Linked DNA regions of Notamacropus eugenii. The protein of the gene in region 2 interacts with the protein of the main gene of each other region in a pairwise test. Links are inferred from orthologs where the notes say so. Each region holds a gene or a part of one and is shown on either strand. Other genes may lie near its edges.

Region 1 (6,981 bases), on a different chromosome or scaffold from region 2:
ACAAAATATACCTAAGTATAGTACCTTTGTGTTTGAGAAATCCAGTTGGATCTCACTATTTAACAAAAACTATTGGAAAAACTGGAAAGCAGTTGGGCAGACATTGGATCTAGATGAACACCACATACCACAGCAAGTTCCAAATGGATATAGAAGTTCAAATCATCAAGAAATTAGAGGAAGAAGGAAGGGGATGCCTTTTATAATGAAGAGGAAAAGACTTCTTGCACAAATCAGTAGAGACAATCACGAGAGGTAAAAATAGACTATTTCAATTGTAAAGAATTGAACAGCTTTGCACAAACAGAAGGGATGAAGTTAAATTAAAAGAGAAACAGTGAACTGAAAAAAAGTCTTCTTGGCAAGTTCCTTCATAAAAGTCATTGATGGCCAATATAACTGCAGAAATGATTCAAAGACGTAAGAACAAAAGGCCTTGTTCAAATGGCATGAATGGGAAATTGTCAGAAGAAGAAAGGTAAGATAACAGTAGTCATATAAAAATGTTCCAAATCACTAATAGTAAGAGAAAGATAAATGAAAACAATTTTAAAGTGCCACCTCATCTACATCAGACTGGAAAAGATAACCAAAAAAGAAAATGAACATCCTGGGCTGGGCCATAAGAGGATAGACAGACTAGTTCACTGCAGATGGAGCTGTGAATTGGTACAGCCATTCTGGAAAGCAACGTGGAACTCTACCTGGTGAATAATGTACAAAGTGAATAAACCAGGAAACCATTTATTCAGTGGATATCACATCATAAAGAGAAACAACTTTGAAAACCTAGGGACTCATCTCAACTCAATGAACACAAAACTTCAGAAGATCAGTGAGGAAATGTGCTTCTCTCATCTTGATGGGAAGCTAATGAACTGGAGGGGAAAGGTGAGGTATACACTCTCAGCAGGTCAAATGTGTGCACCAACTTAGCTTGACATTACTAATTTCCTATGAAGGAAAGTTTTCATTAAAATATTGTCAGGGAAGAGACTTTGAAAGAAGAAGACCTGAAATGAATGAAAAGAAAAGAAAAAGAAAAAACAGTATCAATGAAGCCTTTCAGAGAGCCCAGGAGGGACCAGAAGGAAGTGTATGGGAAGGCGCTGACAACCAGGACAGCTTTGGGACTAATGTAATGAATGAATAATATGCTTTTAAAACGTGGTGACAACAGAGATTCACAGTGACATATAAAGTTTTCTATTTTGTTATTTTTTATATATGGAAATATTCCTGTTTGATGGTGTCACACAAGTTCAGAATAACTCCCAATAAAAAAATGCTTAAAAAAAAGTCAAATCCTCTCTGAAGTCTGTCTTTCATCTGATACAGGGTCAATACTGACAACACATCAGGCCCTGCTGCTTCCTCTGTGGGACAGACCAGACTGATGGCTACTGCTCAGGACCCTGCTCTGGACACTATGGGAAACAGAGAAGGAGGAGCACCTGCAGGGTCTGCAGTGAGTTCATCCATGGGCCTTCCTAGGCCTCTGAGAGTCCCCAGACAGGCCAGATCTGCTCCACTTTCAGGATCATTCCAACATTCTTACCTGAGCACTTCAGCTGCCCAGACGCCCCCAGGTCCTCTCTTAGCAGCATCATAGTTCCCACGAGCATGGAAGTATTTGTCTGAATTTTTAAAATTGGCTTCACGCATGTCCCTGTAGGCCCTCCACATGTCCCCAGCACCTAGAAAGGGAAGAGGCAAGAGGCATAAGGAGCAACATGGATCTGGCTCTAGTGAAGACAGAAACATCATCCCCAGGTTCAAGATTTCTTAAATGGATGCCATGGGAAAGCATCTCCTCAGCCACTGGTCCCCAATGGAAATGAGATGCGCCTTATAAAATAAGTGTCCCTTCACTACATTATCAATGCTTAAAATATAAAACAATGGGTTCTAAAACAGAATTTTCCACTGAAAACATATTTTAGCTCCTCCTTTATTACTGCTCCATTTCTTTCAGATAAGATTCAGAATAGCAACTTTCATCCTGAACTGAGCCAAAGATTCTTTCCTGTTCCATAGCCATGGGGGGCTCACCAATGCAGCTAAAGCATCTCTCTTTCCATTGGAGGGAAAGGTCCACACCCACCAGCCCTGCCTTTGCCACTGCTCAGGTACCAGATTCTATTTCTGGCTGCATCTGCTACCACCTGCCCTTCTACCTTCCAGGTATCTGCCTTCTGTGAATAAAACAATCTTCCTCCTCTTATCATTCACTGCTTCGTGCAAAGCAACTCGAACAAAGGAGATATGCTCTTGAAGAGGCCTTACCTAGACGAGCCTGATTAAGGAAGTCCGCAGTTTCTCGAAACCAACCCTGACTGTTGACACACAGGACCAAGGACAAGAGAAAGAGGCCTGTGAGGAGCTTCATTGCTGCTGGAAGGCTGCAAGTAGAAAGAAGATGGATGCTCAGAGACCTGCCAATGCTCATGAATCCCTGTTGGTTTTCCTTTTTTATATTCATTTTTCTGTCTCCACATTTACCTTTGCTTTCATGAAGTCTTTCCTTTTTGGAAGGACACGTTTGAAATATCCAAAGGTACTTGGATTGAGAATAACCCTTCCATTCTAACTGGGTTCCATCAGCTCCATGGAAAACCCTACTGGGTTCCCTTAGCATGGAGAGGGTACCACTCAGCTTTTGGGAGCTGCTCCCAATTTTGTCATTCCCCTCTAAAGGTCAGGGAGTCAGCAAGCAGTGACTAAGCTCTCAGGAGGTATTCTATTAAACAATTCAATTAAATTCAAAAAACATTTCACAGTGTGTTTATTAGATGCCAGGTTTTCCACTATTCCTTGGTGATTAAAAAAAAACCAAAAGGAAGCACATTTAGGGTCAGGGAGCTCACATTCCACAGATACATTAACAGGTTTTGTTTAGACCTAAAGCCACACAAAGCAAACAGAAGGCAAAGAGCCTGCCCACAGCAATGCTATCACCTATGCCGTGACATATGTCATGTATGCATCGTGGCAGAGGATCTCAGGAGGAGGAAGAAAGGCCAAGTCTTAAAGAAACATGAACTCACCTGAGGTTCCTTGTCCTTTCTCAGGTCAATGGAGAGACTCAGCTCTGAGGCCTGTGGGGTATTAGAGAGGAGGCTGATATTTATACAAAGTTTTCTGGATTGAGTATTTTAGCCACTTGGGTTCAAGGTGAGTTGGGGAATTCCCCCTTGAAAATTTTTCCTGACAAATAATAGAAATAGGTGCCCAGAAACACAAATCTGTCATTTTCCCAGATTGCGAAATGTTCAACATGGGTATTCTTGGGAGGTTTTCCTTTTTTTACAGATTTCTTCTATGCTCAGCAACTGGTCACCTTAACACATCAAACCAGACAAGCACCCACACTGAATGTCATGGATGCATTGCAGTCTCTGTAACCCATTATTTCCAATCTATAGAGGGCTGGGGGAATAATTTCATTTTTTAAAAAACTGTCATTTTTGTAGCTTTTTAAAAAGCACTTTACACATCCCTCTTATTTGAACTTCACAAAAACCTCATGAGGTACATTTAATTTCCATTTTATAGATGGAGAAACTGAGGCCTGGAGATATAAGTGATTGGCCCATAGTGAAACCCACAGATACTTACAAGGTTTAGGCAAAGCTTACTGAATTAAACTTTTATTTGTTTTCTAGTTTTCATTTGTGTCTGAGCCTCAGCTCATGCCATTCCTCCTTTATGGGAAGCTCCCTCCCTCTACCAGTGTCAAACATGACCTCCAGGATGCACCAGATCTGCCACTTCCTCCATGACATCTTCTCTAATTACTCCAGACTACAGGAGCCCTCCCCTTTTCTAGTCTTTCTAACTTGCACTGAGTTGACCCAGCATGGCTGGATCTGTGTGTCAGAGATTACTGTCAAGGACTCTCTCCATATGTACTTGAAAAAAGAAACATATGTTTCAGCCATACCTGAGTACTCTACTTATTCGATTGGAACTTGTTTAAGAAGGAAAAGAAGAAATAAAATAAAATTTTAACCCCATGAGTTAAGTTAAAAATGTTAAGTAAGGGTCATGGTGATATTTTATTCTAATATACCAAGATAGGTAACAAGAGAATTATTGGAATGAGTTGTCTGATCAACCTGGAATAACCACTAAGGGATTGAAGAGACACACAGGCCAATCAGGGGTCTTGTGACATTCTAAAACAGCACAAGTGCCTCCTCCATTATGGTGTTTCCACATCATTATCTAATCAAACCAGAAAGAAGTCTTTCTTTTGAGAAAAACAGGAGGTTGAGAATCAAAGAAAGAATATGACCATGTCTTAGGGTGGATATGAAAAAGCAAAATGAGAACTGATGGCAGAGAGAAAAGAGAGATGTTTAAATACTTTTTTGTTGTGTTTTCTGCTGACAAGTATGGTCTGTGGACTGGCAAGGGCAGAAGATACATGATTATAATCAGTTACAATAACAATATAATATAATAATCATTAATAATGGGAACATCACCCAATTAATATATAAAGAGAGAGAGTGTCTAGGGGCTCTAGGCTTTCTTGAACTATATCGTGGAATACTGCAAGAACAGAGTTGGGATGGTTTTGAAAGTTCAAATAAGAGGAGTATTGGACCAGGGCGAACACTGTGCATATGTTCATCAAAAGGAAGAGAGGGCGTTCTTTAGACCATGTGGGTCTTCAATCCCTAACAAAACTTTAGAATGTATTATTAAAGGGATGACTGATGACCCTTGAGCAGAAGAAGCAGGGGGCAGAAACGTCCACTCAGAGTCGTTCTTGAAACAGTATTGCTGTGACTGTATACAGTGTTCTCTTGGTTCAGATCATTTCCTTCTTCATTACTGCATGCAAGTCTTTCCATGTTTTTCTAAGATCACTGACCTGCTCATTTCTTGGGTAACATTCCATCATTATCAATTTGTTCAACCATATTATGCTATAAAAGGAACAGAATTCTAAGGGAAAAATGCCCCTAAAGATGGATAAAAGGAAGGGAGGAATAAATGAGAGAAGACAACCTCAATGAATCCCTTTTGCACTCAATGAGAACAGGTCCAACCCTTTTGTTGGTGTGCTGTCTACCCATAGTGGACGTCTGGTCTCATGTAACAATCTGAGATCTCTCTAAGCCCAAAGCTGGCATAGTTGTGATTTGCAAGTCCCTCTGCCCGGGAAGCTTTCTCATTCATCCCTGAAAGCTTGTGGGAGGGACTTCTATATGGACTAGGCTCAGTGGCCTTTAAGGTTCCCTCCAACTCTGATCTTTTTTTTCTATTTCATTCCTTAAGACTGTGATAGGTATTGTAGAATAATGTAGAAGTATAAGACACTTCTCTCACCCTCACAGAGTTGACAATCTTCTTGGGAGAAGTAGATCATTATCAAAGAATGAATGGCTGTCATGAATGTTTGCTGCTGAACTGTCTTCCCTGGCAATGGGAGATTCTGCTGTGTTGTGCAGGGGGATTTATGCAGCTCTCTGACTGAGTCCTTAGAATCAGGCCTCATTCCTCAGATCCTCTCTCACATGTACTGTTTGTGTTAGCTCTTCTGCAATCCAGGAGCTGAACGAGAACCTTGAAAGATGGAAGGAAAGAGACATACTGTAGGAAGCATATTATTCACCCACAGTATTGAAGCCTGAGACCCACACAGCCCAAGAAACATGAGAGAGACAAGGCTAGGCCACCACAGATGAACTTCTTGGATCTCTAAGAACCAGCTCTTTCCCCTCTCCCACACACTGGGAGTGAAACACACAGAACTGGTTTAACTGGCCAGTGCATGTCAGCACTGAGGTGGTTTAAATGCCAAATGACTGAAACATATTTCTTTCTTCAGCTACATATGGAGAGAGTCTCTGACAGTCATCTCCAACACACAGATCCAACCATGTTGGGTAAGGTCAGGGCAAGTTAGAAAGACTAGGAAAGGGGAGAGCTGGAGTAATCAGAGAAGACCTCATGGAGGAAGTGGCAGAACTGGTGCATCCTGGAGGTCATGTTTGACACTGGTAGAGGGAGGGAGCTTCCCATAAAGGAGGAATGGCATGAGCTGAGGCTCAGACACAAATGAAAACTAGAAAACAAATAAAAGTTTAATTCAGTAAGCTTTGCCTAAACCTTGTAAGTATCTGTGGGTTTCACTATGGACCAATCACTTATATCTCCAGGCCTCAGTTTTTCCATCTATAAAATGGAAATTAAATGTACCTCATGAGGTTGTTGTGAAGTTCAAATAAGAGCGGTGTGTAAAGTGCTTTTTAAAAAGCTACAAAAATGACAGGTTTTAAAAAATGAAATTATTCACTCAGCCCTCTATTTGTTGGAAATAATGGATTATACAAACTACAATGCATCCATGACATTCAGTGTGGGTGCTTGTCTGGTTTGATGTGTTAAGTTGACCAGTTGCTGAGCATAGAAGAAATGTGTAAAAATGGAAAACCTTCCAAGAATACCCACGTTGAACATTTCGCAATCTGGGAAAATGACAGATTTGTGTTTCTGGGCACCTATTTCTATTATTTGTCAGGAAAAATTTTCAAGGGGGAATTCCCCAACTCACCTTGAACCCAAGTGGCTAACAGACTCAATCCAGAAAGGTCTGTATAAATATCAGCCTCCCATCTAGTACCCAGCAGGCCTCAGAGCTGAGTCTCTCCATTGACCTGAGAAAGGACAAGGAACCTCAGGTGAGTTTATGTTTCTTTAAGACTTGGCCTTTCTTCCTTCTCCTGAGATCCTCTGTCACGATGCATAGGTGACATATGTCACGGCATAGGTGATAGCATTGTTGTGGGCAGGCTCTTTGTCTTCTGTTTGCCTTGTGTGGCTTTAGGTCTAAACAAAACCTGTTAATGTATCTGTGGAATGTGAGCTCCCTGACCCTAAATATGCTTCCTTTTGGTATTTTTTTTAACCTCCAAGGAATAGTGGGAAACCTGGCATCTAATAAACACACTGTGAAATGTTTTTGGA
Region 2 (7,481 bases):
CTTCACTGCTGCCTGCCTCAGTTTCCCCATCTATAAAATAGGGATCATAATAGCACCTACTTCCCAGGGCTGTTGTGAGGGTCAAATGAGATAATAATTGTAAATTGCTTAGCGTAGTGCCTGGCACATAGTAAGTACCATATCTTGTTAGCGATCATTATCATTTGTGTCAGTCAACTAGTCACAAAGCACAGATCTGCCTGTGTCACTCTCTTGCTTGAAAAGCATCCATGGCTCCTCATCGCTTTCAGTATGAAAATGTCAGCTCTCAAGCGACTTCCCAAGCATCCGATCTATCTTTCTGACCTCACTTTATGATACTACTCTTTCCCACATTCCACATCCCAGACAAACAAGAGCTACTGGATGCTTCTCACAATGTCTCTCTGCCATCTCTAGACCTAAGCTGTTGCCTGCACCTAGAACTCCCCCGCCATCTGCCTCTTTGGAGGCCCTAACTCCCTCCCCCTGGGACCACCTCACAGAGACATAGTCTTATTTCTCCAAGAGTTAGTGCCCTACCACCCCTACTCCCAAACCACTCTGTTTATCTGGTATAACCCCATGTATTGTATTTACTTATCTGAGTTTGTTTGTTTCCTCCCAATAGAATCAAGGTTCTTTGAGGAAAGGGACTATTTTTCTCTTTGTATTCCCAGAGCCCAGGCTCTTGTCTGGCACTTAGTAGGTGCTTGTTGAATTGAAGTGAGTTGAATTGCTTCCCAAATGAAAAATAGGTATTGGGGACAAGGAAAGTGAATCCCTGGGCAGACAGTACTCAGGAAGAGTCTGACCCACCCTGTCTGATACCCCTGGTGCATCGTTCCTGCTATGGTTTCTCCTAACTTAAGTCTCCTTTTCTTAAGCTTAAAAAAATGCCCAAAAGAGGAAGCTGGCTTTGGAGAAGCCTTGGGGGAAGGAAGGTGAGGAGGCAATTTATCTAAGTCTGCCAGGCCAGGTAAAATCCAGGAGCAGGAAGCCATCCCTGGGGACTCTGGGGTCCAGCAGTCACTAATTCTCCCTATTCACCCCTTTGGGGAAAGTGAGGACCCAGTAGCTTCCTCCCCTGGCACCACAGGACAGACTGTACTTTGAGCCCACCCAGAACAAAGCATGGTATCCCATGGTGTCCAGTCCTTCCCTGAGCTTGGACTTTCTAGGTTTCTGTACCCTGGGCAGCAAACCCCTCAGAGGAGCTTTTAGTCCTGAGTACCAGCCAGTCATTCTTTCTACTTACTCCAGTTCTTTGCCCATAGCAGAGGACTCAAACTGAGACACATATTCCTTTCCAGTGTCCTTGACGGTATTCAGGTAGACAGTTAAGAGATCCTTCATCTGCTCCAAGGGTGTCTGAGGTTCATCATGCTGCCAGAAATAGTTGGCCTGGCTCCCTTGAGGAGAGGAAGAAGACAGAACCAAGTCATTACCACCCTCTGCCTGACTGTCCTTTCTCAGGGGGTGCCAGAGAGAAGGAGTTTCTGAGCTAGGAGTGAGCAAAGACAGCATATGGGAGGGGACAGTTGTCTAGCTCAGCCCAGGGTCAATGAGAGCAAATTTTGTGTTAAGTGTTCCTGCCACCCACCTTCTCCCAATCCCATCTAGTGTAATCTGAATAAAGGGGGAGGAAGGTTCCTGACTGACTGGGGATCTGGGGCTTGGTGTTGGCCCCTACCTGTGAGGAAGAGCAGGGAGAGGCTCAAAATCACAGCTCTCATCTTGAGGACTTCTTCCTATGACCTGTGGAGAGAGGAGAGAGGTTTAAATCGTTGAGAAGGCAAGGCTAATCACATAGGCTGAGGAAAGAAGCCTGGCTTTCTGCTTACTCATCGATAAAATGAAGGGGTCCTGTCCAAACCTGGATCTATATAATACCTAGTGTCCTTCCCTACATTTACTGCATCCCTTTCTCCTGCTAGGTCAGAGACATCTGGAGGTCAGCCAATCTCAGAGGCTTGGCCAAGCTTATCCCAGACAAGCCCAGTCAAGTGGCCAGCGTTGGCTTGGTAGATCTTACCTGAATGCTCTCTCCAGGTGATCTATCAGGGGTGGTAGTTCTCCTCAGGAGCTGGTATTTATATTCCCAATGAGGGCTGGGCTAAAGCAGGGAGATAAGGTAAACCTTCAGAAGGACATGTGGAACTTAGAGTTCAAGGGTCAAACTTGTCTCTCCTCCCCCGCTCCCCTGAAATCCTAGGTCTAAAGCAGGTAGGCAAACAGAAAGTGGGGGCAGTGATTGCCCAAGGGGGACCTAGCTCTGGCTCTGCAATCCTGGATGGTCTACTGGGCAAGGGATAGGCTGGAGTCAGACAAGAAAAACCCCATGCAGAGAGTAATCTCATTCTTGTAAAGCTAGCTGGGGTTAGGGGCCAGCATAGCCAGCATAGCCGAGGCCAGGGTCTTCAGCCTCCTTCAGCTTCAGCCTCCAGGCCACATGTGGCCCTTTAGGTCCTCAAGTCTTTAGGTCCCTTTGACTGAATCCAAACTTCACTGAACGAATCCCCTTAATAAAAGGATTTGTTCTGTAAAACTTGGACTCAATCAGAAGAACACACCTGAGGACCTGGCAGGTCACATGTGGACTCCAGGTCGCTGGTTCCTCACCCCAGACCTAGGTTATGCTGGCCCCACATTTGCTCCTTTGGGTCCTAACCCTCCCCTCCAAAACCTTGGGTGAGAAGAAAGAAAGACTCCATCATACTTCCCTTGGCTGGTCTCATTACCCACTTCACCTTGGGCCCAGAAGGGAGGGACTCACACATAGAATGGGGGAGGGGGAATTGGGAGGTAAGAGGGACTCCCTGCCTGGCTTCCCACAAAGGCTCAGAAGGGATCACTTGTGCTGACCCTCCCCCTTCCCTCTTTAAGGAGCAGGAAAGTGCAAGAAGCAAGCTTTTTGTCTCCACACTTCTTATCTGTTCCACCCCCCAACATCCGGAAAAGTGAAGAATGGCACACATGGTCTCTGAAGTCAGGGGAAGCTGTAGCAGTGATTTCTGTAATGGTCTCTCTCTACTAACCCAGGCTGTTCCCAAACCTGCCTCAAGCTCCTCTTCCAGAAAGATTCCACCGGCTGACTCATTGAACTCTGACTCATAGGTCAGCTATTAACTAGGACTGACTTGTCCATAGCTGTGTGAGACTAGAAGTACATCACTTCACCAAGGCCTCAGTTTCCTCATCTGTACTATGGGAAAAGTCATACACATAATACCCAATGAAGATTAACAAAGATATCGTGTATGTAATGTGCAGCAGCATCATTATTCTTCAGTTTGATAAATGACCAAAGGCTTGGATGTCATGGCACCTGAAGGCTTCAATTTCTTGGCAATTACAAGGCAATCAGTAAAATATTTAGTGGGGACTGATCTAGCTCCAAATGGATGACCCTGTGGTTTAGTATAGTATGGCACACTATCACCCATTGTTACCTGTCTCGAGTTCTCTGTTGATTTGCAAATGTTTTTCTCATGGACTGATTCCAACTTAGATAGAAGGTATGGATTGTATCTTCACTCCTCTGTGTCTGCCCTAATACCTGTTACTGAACTTTGTACACAACAGGTAACTTAATGGTATTGAAAGCTGCTTGCACTACTGAATGCTGGAGGAAACAATTTCCCACTGGGATTGTAGAGGATGAGTAGGAAAACCCCTTAGTTTGGAATCCAGGAGAACTACTACCTGCTTTTTAATTTACTACTCATGTGACCTTCAGAAAAATCATTTATGCTCTCTGGGCCTCAGTTTCTTAACCTTAAAATGTCAATCAGAATACCTGTCATCCACCTCGCAAGGTTTCTGGGAAGATCAAATGGGATAGTATATGTAGCTATGGGTGTAACCTAGACTTCCAGCCTGAGAATTTGTCCAACACATTCCTCTTTGGTGGCAGGATTCACGCTTAATGCTCTGTACCTACAAGAAAGTTCTCTGGAGGCAAGAAGCTGCCATGTAGAGGAAGCAGTCAGTGCCTCAAGCAGGTCAGCTTTTCCCCAAATTCTTCATCTCTTCCTTCAGGGGCCTTTCCCTGAGGAGAACCTACAACCATGGGTCTAGAAGGCAAAATCCAGAAAAAGCAACATCTCCTCTCCCAGTTTCTGGCCAACTCCAATCCCTCCCACAGGCATAGACCATCAAGTAATCACGCTCTTCATCAAGGAGGAAAGTCTTGATGCAAACACATTATCTCTGGGTTTACATACAAATAACAAAATCTCAGAAATGGAAGGAACCTTGGAAGTCTTTGAATTCAACCTCAGACAAGTGGTTGTAGCCTCTGCTAGAATTCTAATGACAGGGAGCTCACTCTCTGCCAAGATAACCCATTTCACTGGCCAGCTTTCATTGCTAGGGAGTTCCTCCTTATATGGGGTGTCCAGGTGTTCCAAAAAAAAAATTCTTAAACTACTAAAGATTGAAACACTTGCATTGGTGCATTGCGCTAATGCTCTGGGAATGTCCTACGTTAAGCTAAAATCTGCTTCCCTGCACTGTACGCTCTACCTTCTGGGGCCAAGCAGGACCAATCTCATTTCTGTGGGGCAGCCCTCTGAATAGCTTGAAAACAGCTACCACATTCTACCTGAAGAAACCTCCTCTCCTCCAGGTGAAACATTCTCGGTTCTTTCCCACATTCCTTCCCCCTTCCTCTGACCCTCAGGCCTGCTCCCTATCCTGTGAACACAGGCTCAGTTTTCATTGTCTCTCCTGTAATGTGTTTATATCCAGAGCAAAACCAGAAGATCCACTCTAGCCCCCAGCTGCCCTGGGAGGGAAAGCTGATTCCTCTGGACACTCCCATAGATGTCCATGGTCAGAACAACTCCATCCAGGAGCTTCATGTCAGCACTCATGCTTATCTGTGCTAAGTGACTAGGGGTAAGGGTTAGATGAGTGGAAGTCTTAGCTCAGATAAACAACTGGGGGAAAACATGTGACAGTATATAGTTGTGGGTGTTTGTCCTTTGTTCTCGAAGAGGACCATGACATCAGGCAGGTGATGTCATGACAGGCAGGCTGTGCAAAGTCACTGGCCTCACTCTCTACTCCAGAACCATCTGGGTCCAATGGCAAGATAAAGATCAAGGCTGAATGGAGATGGTTCCCCAACGTAGGGTAGGAAAGATGGAGAAGGAAAGAAGGAATGCAGGGATAGTTGGGAGAAGTTGGTGGAAGGAAAGTTTGGAAGATAGGAACTCATTAGGATCATAAATATGGAGGGAGCATAGCCCAGGTCCCTAACTCTTTTTCCTACGATCCTCTAATTTACAAAAATAGGACAGCTAGGTGGCACAGTGGATAGAACACCAGGTCTGGAGTAAGGAAGACTCATCTTCATGAGTTCAAATCTGACCTCAGCCACTCACTAGCTATGTGACCCTGGGCAAGTCACTCAACCCTATTTGCCTCAGTTTCCTCATCTATAAAATGAATTGGAGGAGGAAATGGCAAACCACTCTAGTATCTCTGCCAAGAAAACCCCAAATGGGATCACAGAATCAGACATGACTAAACAACAACAAGAATTTTACAAATGAGGAAACAAGCCCAGGGAAAACGAGTGTCACACAGTGAGCATTTGACTCCAAGAACCAGGGCTTTTTTCCACTGTACCATGATGACCAGGGGGTGTGCAACCAGAACACTGCACAGTACTTTTAGCCACAGACATGCTATTCGTACAAGTCTGGAGATACTTTTTCTTTAACATCAATTCATAGCACTGGGAGGAATTTTACTGAACATATAATGACTAGATCAGGGGTGGGGAACCTGCAGCCTCAAGGGCACATGTGGCCCTCTAGGTCCTCAAATGTGGCACTTTGAATCCAAACTTCACAGAACAAATCCCCTTAAAAAAAGGATTGGTTCTGTAAAACTTGGACTCAGTCAAAGGGTCACACCCAAGGCCTTGAGGCCACAGGTCCTCCACCCCTCAACTATATTCTAGTCCAATCCCTTTTTATATATGACAAAACTGAGGCCCAGGAAAGCGATTTAATGTTAGACCCAGGTCATACTGATATATGTGTGTATATATGTTTATATGTTGTATATATAATATAGACAATATATTATGTATATGTATATTATATATATGTATGTATACACATATATACAATATACCTATTCCTAGATTTGCAGTAGAATGTCATATATAAACATATATATTATATATATGTATACAACATATGTATTTATATATCTGTCATCTGTTACAGATCTGGGAGTAAGCTTCTAAACCCAACATGGTATAATTGTCATCTTACCATACTGCTTCTCAGTTCAGTAGCTTGCTGTTATATACCACCCTTTTCCCGCCCCTTCCCCCTTCCCCGGCCCACCCATGACCTTCCTTGGGTTCTCAACAGGTGCTGGAGCAAGCATCAGCAGCAACCTTTAAGGAAATGGATACCCAGCTGATAGGCTGACAACCAGATGACTCATGGAGTAATCTGTTGCTTAAGAATACCTCCCTTTGGGGCAGCTGGGTAGAGCACTGGCCCTGGAGTCAGGAGGACTGAGTTCAAATCTGACCTCAGACACTGGACACCTACTAGCTGTGTGACCTTGGGCAAGTCACTTAACTCCAATTGCCTTGCCTTGCCTTCCCCCCTCCAAAAAAAAATACTCCTCTCTTCCCCAATGTATATTCCATAGATTAGAGATTCATTTGGATGAACAAATTCCATCAAAAATAGAAATCCCGTTGTATTCTCTGCAGGTCAAATGCACCAGGGCTGTTTTTCTAAGTTCTGGGCACCACATTTTAAGATGGAAATTGAGCAACTACAAAGAATTTAGAGGAGGTTACCAAGATGGAGAGCTCAGGAAACGAACGAACTCCAGTTGTTTAGCTTTAAAATTCAGGAGACTACACTGATAGCTTTCCAAGATCTGAAGGTTTGTGTTTTGGAAGGGATTTAAATCTACTCTTCTACATTTAATAGGCTGCCTTCTGAAATACGGAGCTTACTCTTTCACTGAAAATGTTTTAACATAGGCTAGATGAGTATTCATGATTCTGATAGGGCTAACGTTACTTATCTTCTGAGGTCTAATCAAGGACACTGTTCTTGGGAGAAAGGACCACATAGTTTCAGATAATCTCACAGAATGAATGGGTACAGGGAGTGGGGCAGATTTTGATCAGTTACAGAAGGAAATTGTGTGTAGAGGCATTTTTTAAGGCCAAGGATTTAAGCCATAGCAGATTAGGAGTCACAGAGGTGGGGGGAGGACTCTAAGTAGCTCCTGAGCACCAGCTATCTGGGGTCAGGGAAGAAGGGGTATTGGAGATGGAATTGGGATGGAGAATGGGAGGTAGATGGTCACAAAGAGCAAGATTTACTTCCCTGTCAGCTTTATTCAAGTCCTGACAATGTAGAGGCTGGGGTCCCAGGCCAGGCCCCCAAGCGGGCTTTGTTCTACCCACAAAATGAGGGCACTCCAAGGTATGAACAGTTCAGGCTTCAAAC
Region 3 (7,945 bases), about 110 Mb from region 2:
GGACCCAATGCTACCTCTCTCCTGTCCACTCCTAGAGGACAGGGCCCAGGAAGGCTGACCCACTTCTTCATGTGGGATGCTGAGGGGAGGGGAAAGTGAAGGAAAAGGAGGAAGAGGAGGAGGAGGGAGAAGAGAAGGAAGAGGAGAAGGAGGAAGAGGATGAGGAGGGGGAGGAGCCACACCTGGTCTTGGTGGAGAATTCACTCTCCTGGATCTTGGTGAAGGTCTCCTTGGCCTTGTTGGCCACAGTGTCTGCCAGCTCCTTCACCTTCTCCTGGAAATGCTGGAAGTCCTCAGCCACACTGGGGGAAGCCTGGGCTGGGCTGGGGCCTTCTGGGAAGGAAAGCACCCAGAGCACCCCTGAGCACTCAGAACACTTGGAATGCCTGGAATTGGGGGACCTTGGAGACAGGAGTGGGTTAGGGATGGTGTCCTTAGAATCTGGGCTCGGGGAAGGGGGACGTACAACCTAGGGTGTGGGTGGAGATTGGAAGCCAGCCGTCACCTACCCCCCCCCCCCCCCCCAAATACCTGCTACGAAGTACAGAAGGGCAGCCAGCACAGCGAAGGAGAGGAAGGGCTTCATGATGAGGCTGGAGGAGGAGGAGAGCAGAGCTCCCGAGCCCTGGGGATCAGAGAGTGGCCTCGCTGTCACTGTCTCCCCAGTCTGCTCCCTGGGCTCCCTTCATCTTCCCTCTCACTTCTAGCCACCCTGATCTATCTATGTGCTCTAGAACCCTTCTCTTGGGGTTCTCATCTCTGAAACAAGTAAGAGTGGCCCCTAGATGGGCAGTCTAAGACATTCTCAGCGCCCCCACTCACAAAATAGTCCCCTTCTCCCCCTCAGGATCCTTCCCCTCCCACACCGTTTCCCTTTCCTCTAACCTCCCTACCCCCCATGTGACTTCTCCAGGGGCCCCCGCTTCCCCAGAGACCCTCCTCCCTCCTCCCATCCCTCCGCACCTCGGCCAGCACTTACCGAAAAAAACTGGGACCTGACCTGCTGGACTGGGTGTGGGCGAGAGCGCCCCGTCCTGCGGTTATAAGAGGGCTGAGGGAGGGGCGGGGAGCGCAGAAAGCCTCACCTTTCTCGTCCCCTCCCCCTCCTCCCTCCTCCCTCTCAGCCTCCACTTCCCGGTAGGCTCCTGGATTCTCTCCTCCCTGCCCCAAGGCAGGAGGCGAGACCCATCCAAGTCCCTTTGGGATCTCCAAAGACCCAGCTCAGGTCCCCACCTCCCTCCCCGTCCCACACCTACAGCTTTCCAAATCCCCCCCTTTTGACTCCGCCCCCCGCGCTACACTGCACCGAGACTTTCACAGCCCTCCCACTACTCACCCCATACCCATAAAAGTCTTCTGGTCCACGCCGTGCCTGGCGCAGGAAGACCCGAATTCAAATCCACCCTCAGACTTAATTAACCAGCCCTGGGCAAGTCACTTCACACAACTGGCCTCAGTTTCCTCATCTGTCAAATGAGCTGGAGAAGGAAATGGTCAATTCCTCCAGGGGCTCTGCCAAGGAAACCCCCAATGGGGTCTTGGAGAGCTGGACATGACGGAGAAACAACTGAACAATGTCCGGAGAAAAGGAGACGGGGAGAGGGTCAGCCTTAGAATCCCAGGGGAGGGACAGGAAAAATAAGGGAGAGGGGACATCAGAGTCTCCCAATTATCGGCTTCTTCACGCTCATCTTTTTCCTGGGTCATCCCTCATCTCCACAGGGGTTACAGTCCAAATACACCTTCCTTTCTCTCCTCGGGTGCTTCTGGACCCTGAATCTCCTCCCCCCCCCCCCATTCTACCCTCCCCTTTCCTCTCACAGCCCTGGCACTCCCGGTCTCCCACCCTCAGTGCCCTTTCTTCAAGGGGGAATTGGAATTCACGGGGGACCGAGTTTAATAAACACGCCCGGGGAGTGGTCCTCGGACCTTCCCGCAGACCTGGGACTCCCCTCCCCCCAGCTCTCCTTCCCAAGGCCCCTGCTCCCTCTGCCTCGCTCTTTCCTCCATCCGCTCCGCCCTTCAAAGTCCTCATTCTTTCCCCCAAGTTTTCTTCTCTCTTTTTCACCGTCTTTTCGGGGAAAGGGATGACCTTAAAATGGGAGGTCCTGTGCGGACACCTTCCTGTCACCCTCTTCGTGTCCCCCCTCCCTTTTGGGATATCGTCTCCCTCCCTCAGGATGCTTCTCTTCCCAAGTTCTCCCGGGACCACAAGCGTGTACAGACTGATCCCTCCGGGTTCTGGGATGCTCACTCCTCTTCCCCAGCCCACTCAGGGACTGAAACACTCTCTCAGCCCCCATCCCAGCTCTTCCTCCGCTGCCGCCGCTATTCATTCCCCATGCACCCTGGCCCCCCACTCAGTCCCAGCTCCCGGAGCTCCGCGACTCTTTCGGGAGCCAAGGCAGGCAGGGTTACTTGCGGGCATCTCCGGTCGTGGGCGCCCCCCGCGCTGACCGTCACTGACCCCTGGCGGCCCATTGAGGGGGCGGCCGCGAGCCGCGGCTCCGGGTTGGCTGAGCCCTCCTCACCCTCCTACCCTCCTCTAGACCACGGAGGGAAGGGGGTGGGCAGCTCCCAGGCGAAGGACGCTCACCCTGAACGTTGTGGGACTGCACCAGGCTCTTCTGGGCAGACTTGTCATTTTAGTGCACCCCCCCTCTCAGCGCCCCCCCCCCCCCCCATCCCTCCCAGTTTTTGGTCACCCTGTCTGCTCAGAGCCCTTGGTCTGGACTAGCCAGGGTCCTCCACCTAGTCGCTCGCTCATCTCCCACCGCCAGGGCCAGCTTTAGTTCCCTCTTGTTACTCAGATGAGGTTATAAAAATAAAACCCTTTCCTCCTCAACTCTTCCCCACCCCGCCAATTTTTACCTCCCCAGCTTCCCGAAAGCCTTCTCTTTCCGTCCTCTGAAAGCTCCAGCTCCGACGCCAGACATTAAATACGTGCAGCCAAGGAGTGTGACCATCCTTCCTTGGGGTGGGATGGGGCGGTGGAGGAGTCCCTGTTTTTGTGTCTAACAAATAACCCTCTGCCCGGCAAAACCTTCCGGGCACTTGACAGCCTCAAAGGGAGGCCCCGGTTTTAGGAATCAAAGAGATCTGAATTCCAGCCCTAGGCTGACCTTGGCTACTTCTCGGCTCCTCTCCTGGCCTCTTTTTTTCTTGGTAAAATAAGGGAGGTGGGACCGACGGCTCTTCAGAGGAACTGGGGCCCATTGGAAGCGGGGTGGGGAGAGGGGGAAGGGCCCTGGATTCCGATCTCTGTGGGAAATGAGGTTAAATGACTGAAGCCTCAGTTTCCTCCTCAGAAAAATGAGGGGTTGGAGTAAATGACCTTTAACGTCCTTATTAACCCTTCTAAACGCCTGACTACCTTTTGGGTTTGATGGTCTATAGTCTAAAGTATTCCAGGATTCTCACGCAAGTTTTCTTGGGTTCTGTAAAATGCTGGGGTTGAGGGAGAGTCCAGGGGTTTCAGTGGCAAGGGAAACCCCAAACTCTCCTACTCTCACCCCACCAGTGCCTGCTCCCCAGTGAAGGGATCTAGGATTCGGGAGGAGAGGGTTGGGGGATTGTGTCTCTGGAATTTCCAAAGAGGTTGGGGTGGGGCAAGGGGGAGGGCAGAAAAAGTTGAGCAAGCCTCCTAGAGAGGCCTCTTTCCCCTGGCTTCCCCTCTCACCTTGGCTCCTACCAGGATTCCCAGATCTTTATCTCTGGTGACCTCTCCCCTGCTTTCAAATCTAGGGTTCCAGACACCCCAGGGAGACTTCTGCCTTGCTCTAACCCTCATCCCACTTAGCTCAAGCAGGAGCCCTCCAACCAGACTTGTTGGAGAAATGAGAGACCCAGAAGGGTGAGAAAGTCAGTCAAGACCCAGAGAAGGGGGTGCAGGAGGGAGCAGCAGAAAGGGAGAGGGAGAAGAGAGGGAGATCTCAGAAGGAAGAGGGGAGAAGCAGAGAGGAGAGGGGTGTCTATGGGGCCAAAGGAGACCAGAGACCAGAGAGAGGAGTGAAAGAGAGATCTATGCAGAAAGAACAGGGAAGAAGAAAGGGATTATCTTGAGTCACTTCAGTAAAAGCTTGAGACAAAAGGACAGAGAGATCCAGCCCATACTCACCTCCCCCATCATCCCTTCCTGAGGGAGAGATAAACCCAGACTAACATAGAATCAGTGGTTGGTACATAAGCAAGCTTTCACTTTATTGATGGCCTGAGCTTAGACTACATGTGGGCCCCCCCCATCTTCCAAGGGTAGTAGAAGGACTGAGGACCAGAGCCATGGGGTGCACTGACCTGCCCTGTGGATGTGAGGGGGTCGGAAGGTGTCTTGGTGTGAGTGAGAGTGGGATTGGAGCATCCACCTCTCCCCAGGTTGTGGGGGAGGACAGGGGAGGGTCCACTGGTGGGTGATGATAAGAGGGCTCCCAGGTGAGAGACAGGGTGAACTACGGGGGCCTTGTGGAGGAGTCTGGGGAACTTTCAGTTGTCACTGAGGGGCATATCGGGTGTCTCTCCCAGCTTCCCTTTGGGATTGATGGCCTCCTGAACCTTGTCCACCAGCGATGTCCACTGGCGCTGCAGGTCGGTGGCCAGGGGCTGGAACCAGGCCTTCAGGCGGTCGTGAAAGCCCTGCAGTTGAGCCTGCAGCTGGGTTGACTGCTCGTCCACCTTGGCCTTGACCTCCTCCATTCGACTGCGCATCTGATCCAGGTGGTTCTGCAGGCGCTCCCCTGCCAGGGTGCCCAGGTTAGCCATCCTCTTCTTGTTCTGCTCTTGGACACGCTCCAGCAAGGGGACCAGGTCCTTCAGGGAGCCGAACCCTCTCTCCATACCCTCCTTGGCACCAGTCTGGTAGGTGGCCATGCGAGTCTGCAGCTCTTCGTAGTCCCGCCCAATGCGCTTCCTCATCTTCCTCAGGTAGGCAGAGACTCGGTTTCTGACCTCATCTATGTTGTGGTTGACCACAGCATGAAACTCTCGGTGGTACTGGGCAAGGCGGGATCCCACATCCTCCATGTCAGCACTGAGGCGAGCCTGGGCAGCTGTGAGCTCCTTGGCCAGCCGAGCTCGGGTATCCTCAGTCATAGGGGTCAGCATCTGGTCCAACTCAGCCTTGTAATCGTTCAACTCGCTCAGAGTGTCTGTCGTAAGACCCCTGCAGGGAGCAGATGGGAAGCTGGATTGGAACCTGGACATGATGAAGGAACTGAGGTCCCTCAGAGAGGTGAGGGGACTCATCCTGGTCACATAGCTATGAAGGGTCAGAGACAGGAATCAAGCCCAAGGCTCTGATTCTAAATCCACTTCTGTCCACTGCACTAAATTGGGAAGGAGACAGACCTACAGGGGGGCAGTGATGGTGGGCACCCAGAAAAGTGGGAATAGATGGAAAGGAGCAGAGAGAGGAGAATGGGAAGGGGAAACAGATGAACCACTGCCAGAGGCAGAAATACATTGGGTGGACAGGAGTCAGTGAGGCCAGTGGGAGTCAGCTTCCATTTTCCTGGGCAAGTGGAGAAAAGAGATTGGGCCATGGCTGGGGATGGACTACTAGGTCTAAGACTCACAAGGCAGGGTTGGGGGAGACCTGAGTGGCAGAGGTCATGGTGGGGATGGTCCTCACCTCAGGTCCTTGACTATTTGGAAACTGTGCACCTCACTCTGCAGGTCCTCGACCCGGGTTTGTAGCTGGTCTAGGTAGCTCTGGAAGCGGCCCATGGCTGTCTCCCAGGCCCGGGCTGGCTCAGTGTTCCAGAGCTCTGGGTCTGCAACTTGGTCCGCTGAAGAAGTCTTGACATCTTCTCCATGGCAGCCTGAGGGGCAGATAGATGAACAGGAGTGTTGAGACTCCAGGGAACCAGCTCACAGGGGCTGAGTGGGAGCAGAGGATGGGGAGGGCTTAGCCCATCTGGGGAAGAAAGGACAAACAGATCCTAGAAATGGGAGGAGACAGATAGTGGGAGTAAGAACAGACTGAAGGACTAAGGAGGGATAGATTAGAGGGGCTACTGGGGAAAATATTGAAGGGAGAGGGAAAATTGGTACAGGACAGAGGAGAGCAGGAATGGAGAGGTCCAGGGAGGGGGCATACCCGTCAAGAGGGCCGCCAGTGCCCACAATGCCCACAGGAACTTCATTTTCACAGCACAGCTGGTGATTGGTCTGGCTAGGGCAGAGAGAGAAGTCTATCTGAAGTCAGGGACCTCCTCCCTTTATTCTGTCCTCCCCCACTAAGCCCATCAGTCAACTCCCACCAACAGATAATGAGGAAACAGTTGCCTCCTAATTCTGTATTCCTAACCTCCTCTGATTATCTGTTAGGGAGCCAAGGTTTTAGACCTGGGGTATTCTATATCTTAAATCTCTTCCCATTGTTGGTCTTTTCCTCAAATCTGGATTCCAAAGTTCAAGCCCTCCCACTTCCTGAATTTCATTCCTTCCATGCAAAATCCTAATCTCCACTGTCTCGAGAAGACCTAAGGGGTGCCGCTAGATAAACATTAACACGATTCCTAATCAGAGGGGCAAAGGAGATTGCTTAATATCACCCCACCTTGAAAAGAATCCTAGCCTGGAAAGAGGAGAGGACTACCTAGTTTATCTAAACCTCTTGTTTTCTGGAGGAGCAAAAAGTGAGGTTCAACGCTTGGCCAAAGGCATCACCTACAGTAAGCATCCTCAGAGGTAGGCTTTGAACCCTGAGCCTCTGACTCTGGTTTGCTGCCTTGATGTTAGATGTGGACAAGCTGTGATTCCAATCTCAATTTCCCTTCCCAGGATCCTGGGGGTTCTGAGTTGCTGCTTTCCCTCACATCCCCCATTTCTCACTCTCAGGACCCAAGCATTCCTTTCTGCCACCCAGATCTGGGACATCTGTCCTCTGTTCCCGAATCCCTTTAGGTTCTCCTATGTCTGTCTTTCTGTGTCTCTTGCTCAGCCGGCGTCCTGTCTAGAAGTCTGTATCCCCCATAAGGAGTATTACTAGGGCTGCTGCCCTTAGGATCTTGGACCCGCATGATTAAGGAAGCTGTCGGATCCAACCAACCTCCTCATTCTAAGAGGAGAGTGAGTTAAGTGACTAGCCCCAAGTCAGACAGGTATTAAGCAGCAGAGCTGAGATTTGAACCTCAGACCTCTCTCCAAATTCAGCTTTTTCCACCATACTCTGCATTGACATTGAATGTCAAAAGTGGAGCAGCATTCATCCACAGCCCACAGATGGGACCTGCCTGAAGGCAAGGAGCCAACTGAGGCTAGTGCAAGGCTCCCCATGCCTGCATTTCTATTCACCCATCCCCATAGCCTCTGTCCCCTGGGGCTTCTTTACCTTGGCCCTGGCTGCTTAGCTGGGGCTTCCTCTGGGTCAGTCAGAGAGATCCTCTTCTGGGCTGAGTAGGACCCGGGCTCAGGGACCTCTTCCAGTTATAGGGCTTCAACCCCCGCCCCCTCCTCCAGGGCCAGGGCGGACCTGTCACGAGGAGAGCATGGCCCTCCTCCATGCCACCCCCCCCCCCCAGCTTTGGGGGCGGTACACTAGGGCTGCTTCCCCCCTCCTGGGGTTGGGAAGCTGACCTCTCACCGCCTAACCTGACCTGATCCCTGCCCCCCACTTCCAAAGACCGAACAGAGAATGTCCATCCCTGTGCCCCTCTTGGGAGGGCTAAATGGAATTCTAGGGCAGGGGGCAGCCTCCATGAAGGATAGGGGATGCTGATAAAGGAATCTAGACATCCGGATGAAGATAACTTGTCTCAGGGAGGGCCATGGCACTTGGCTGAATTGAGGGGGCAAAGAATGGCCTTCACGACCTGAGTGGGGCACATAAAATGGAGACCAGGACAAGATAACTTAGGGCCAGCTGTAGTCTGTTCTCAGTCCAGAATACTGCAGGAAGGGTGGGGGCCCAGTTCTTTGAAAGGTTGTTTTGTGTGGGGGCAGACAGCTG

Evidence for each region.
Region 1: the proteins of APOA1 (region 2) and serum amyloid A protein interact in a two-hybrid assay, tested with the Homo sapiens proteins (2 studies listed by BioGRID, with this or other methods). The link is inferred for Notamacropus eugenii from reciprocal best matches to the Homo sapiens genes APOA1 and SAA2.
Region 3: the proteins of APOA1 (region 2) and APOC1 interact in a two-hybrid assay, tested with the Homo sapiens proteins (2 studies listed by BioGRID, with this or other methods). The link is inferred for Notamacropus eugenii from reciprocal best matches to the Homo sapiens genes APOA1 and APOC1.

What each region holds. Positions count from the first base shown.
Region 1 is NC_092877.1:36,342,277-36,349,257, forward strand, and holds the start of serum amyloid A protein, read right to left. Parts: upstream 3,099-6,981; 5' UTR 3,048-3,098; intron 2,403-3,047; 5' UTR 2,390-2,402; coding exon 2,287-2,389; intron 1,698-2,286; coding exon 1,559-1,697; intron 1-1,558.
Region 2 is NC_092876.1:135,302,808-135,310,288, reverse strand, and holds the start of APOA1 (apolipoprotein A-I), read right to left. Parts: upstream 3,026-7,481; 5' UTR 2,956-3,025; intron 2,754-2,955; exon of another isoform or gene 2,699-2,753; intron 2,096-2,698; 5' UTR 2,015-2,095; intron 1,738-2,014; 5' UTR 1,716-1,737; coding exon 1,673-1,715; intron 1,392-1,672; coding exon 1,238-1,391; intron 1-1,237. UniProt on the Homo sapiens protein: Participates in the reverse transport of cholesterol from tissues to the liver for excretion by promoting cholesterol efflux from tissues and by acting as a cofactor for the lecithin cholesterol acyltransferase (LCAT).
Region 3 is NC_092876.1:27,410,280-27,418,224, reverse strand, and holds the start of APOC1 (apolipoprotein C-I), read right to left. Parts: upstream 3,097-7,945; 5' UTR 2,872-3,096; intron 2,669-2,871; exon of another isoform or gene 2,419-2,668; intron 1,513-2,418; exon of another isoform or gene 1,479-1,512; 5' UTR 1,348-1,478; coding exon 1,337-1,347; intron 1,035-1,336; coding exon 980-1,034; intron 626-979; coding exon 532-625; intron 334-531; coding exon 183-333; intron 1-182. Other genes in the region: APOE (apolipoprotein E), read right to left, coding at 4,480-5,155, 5,624-5,813, 6,092-6,137. UniProt on the Homo sapiens protein: Inhibitor of lipoprotein binding to the low density lipoprotein (LDL) receptor, LDL receptor-related protein, and very low density lipoprotein (VLDL) receptor.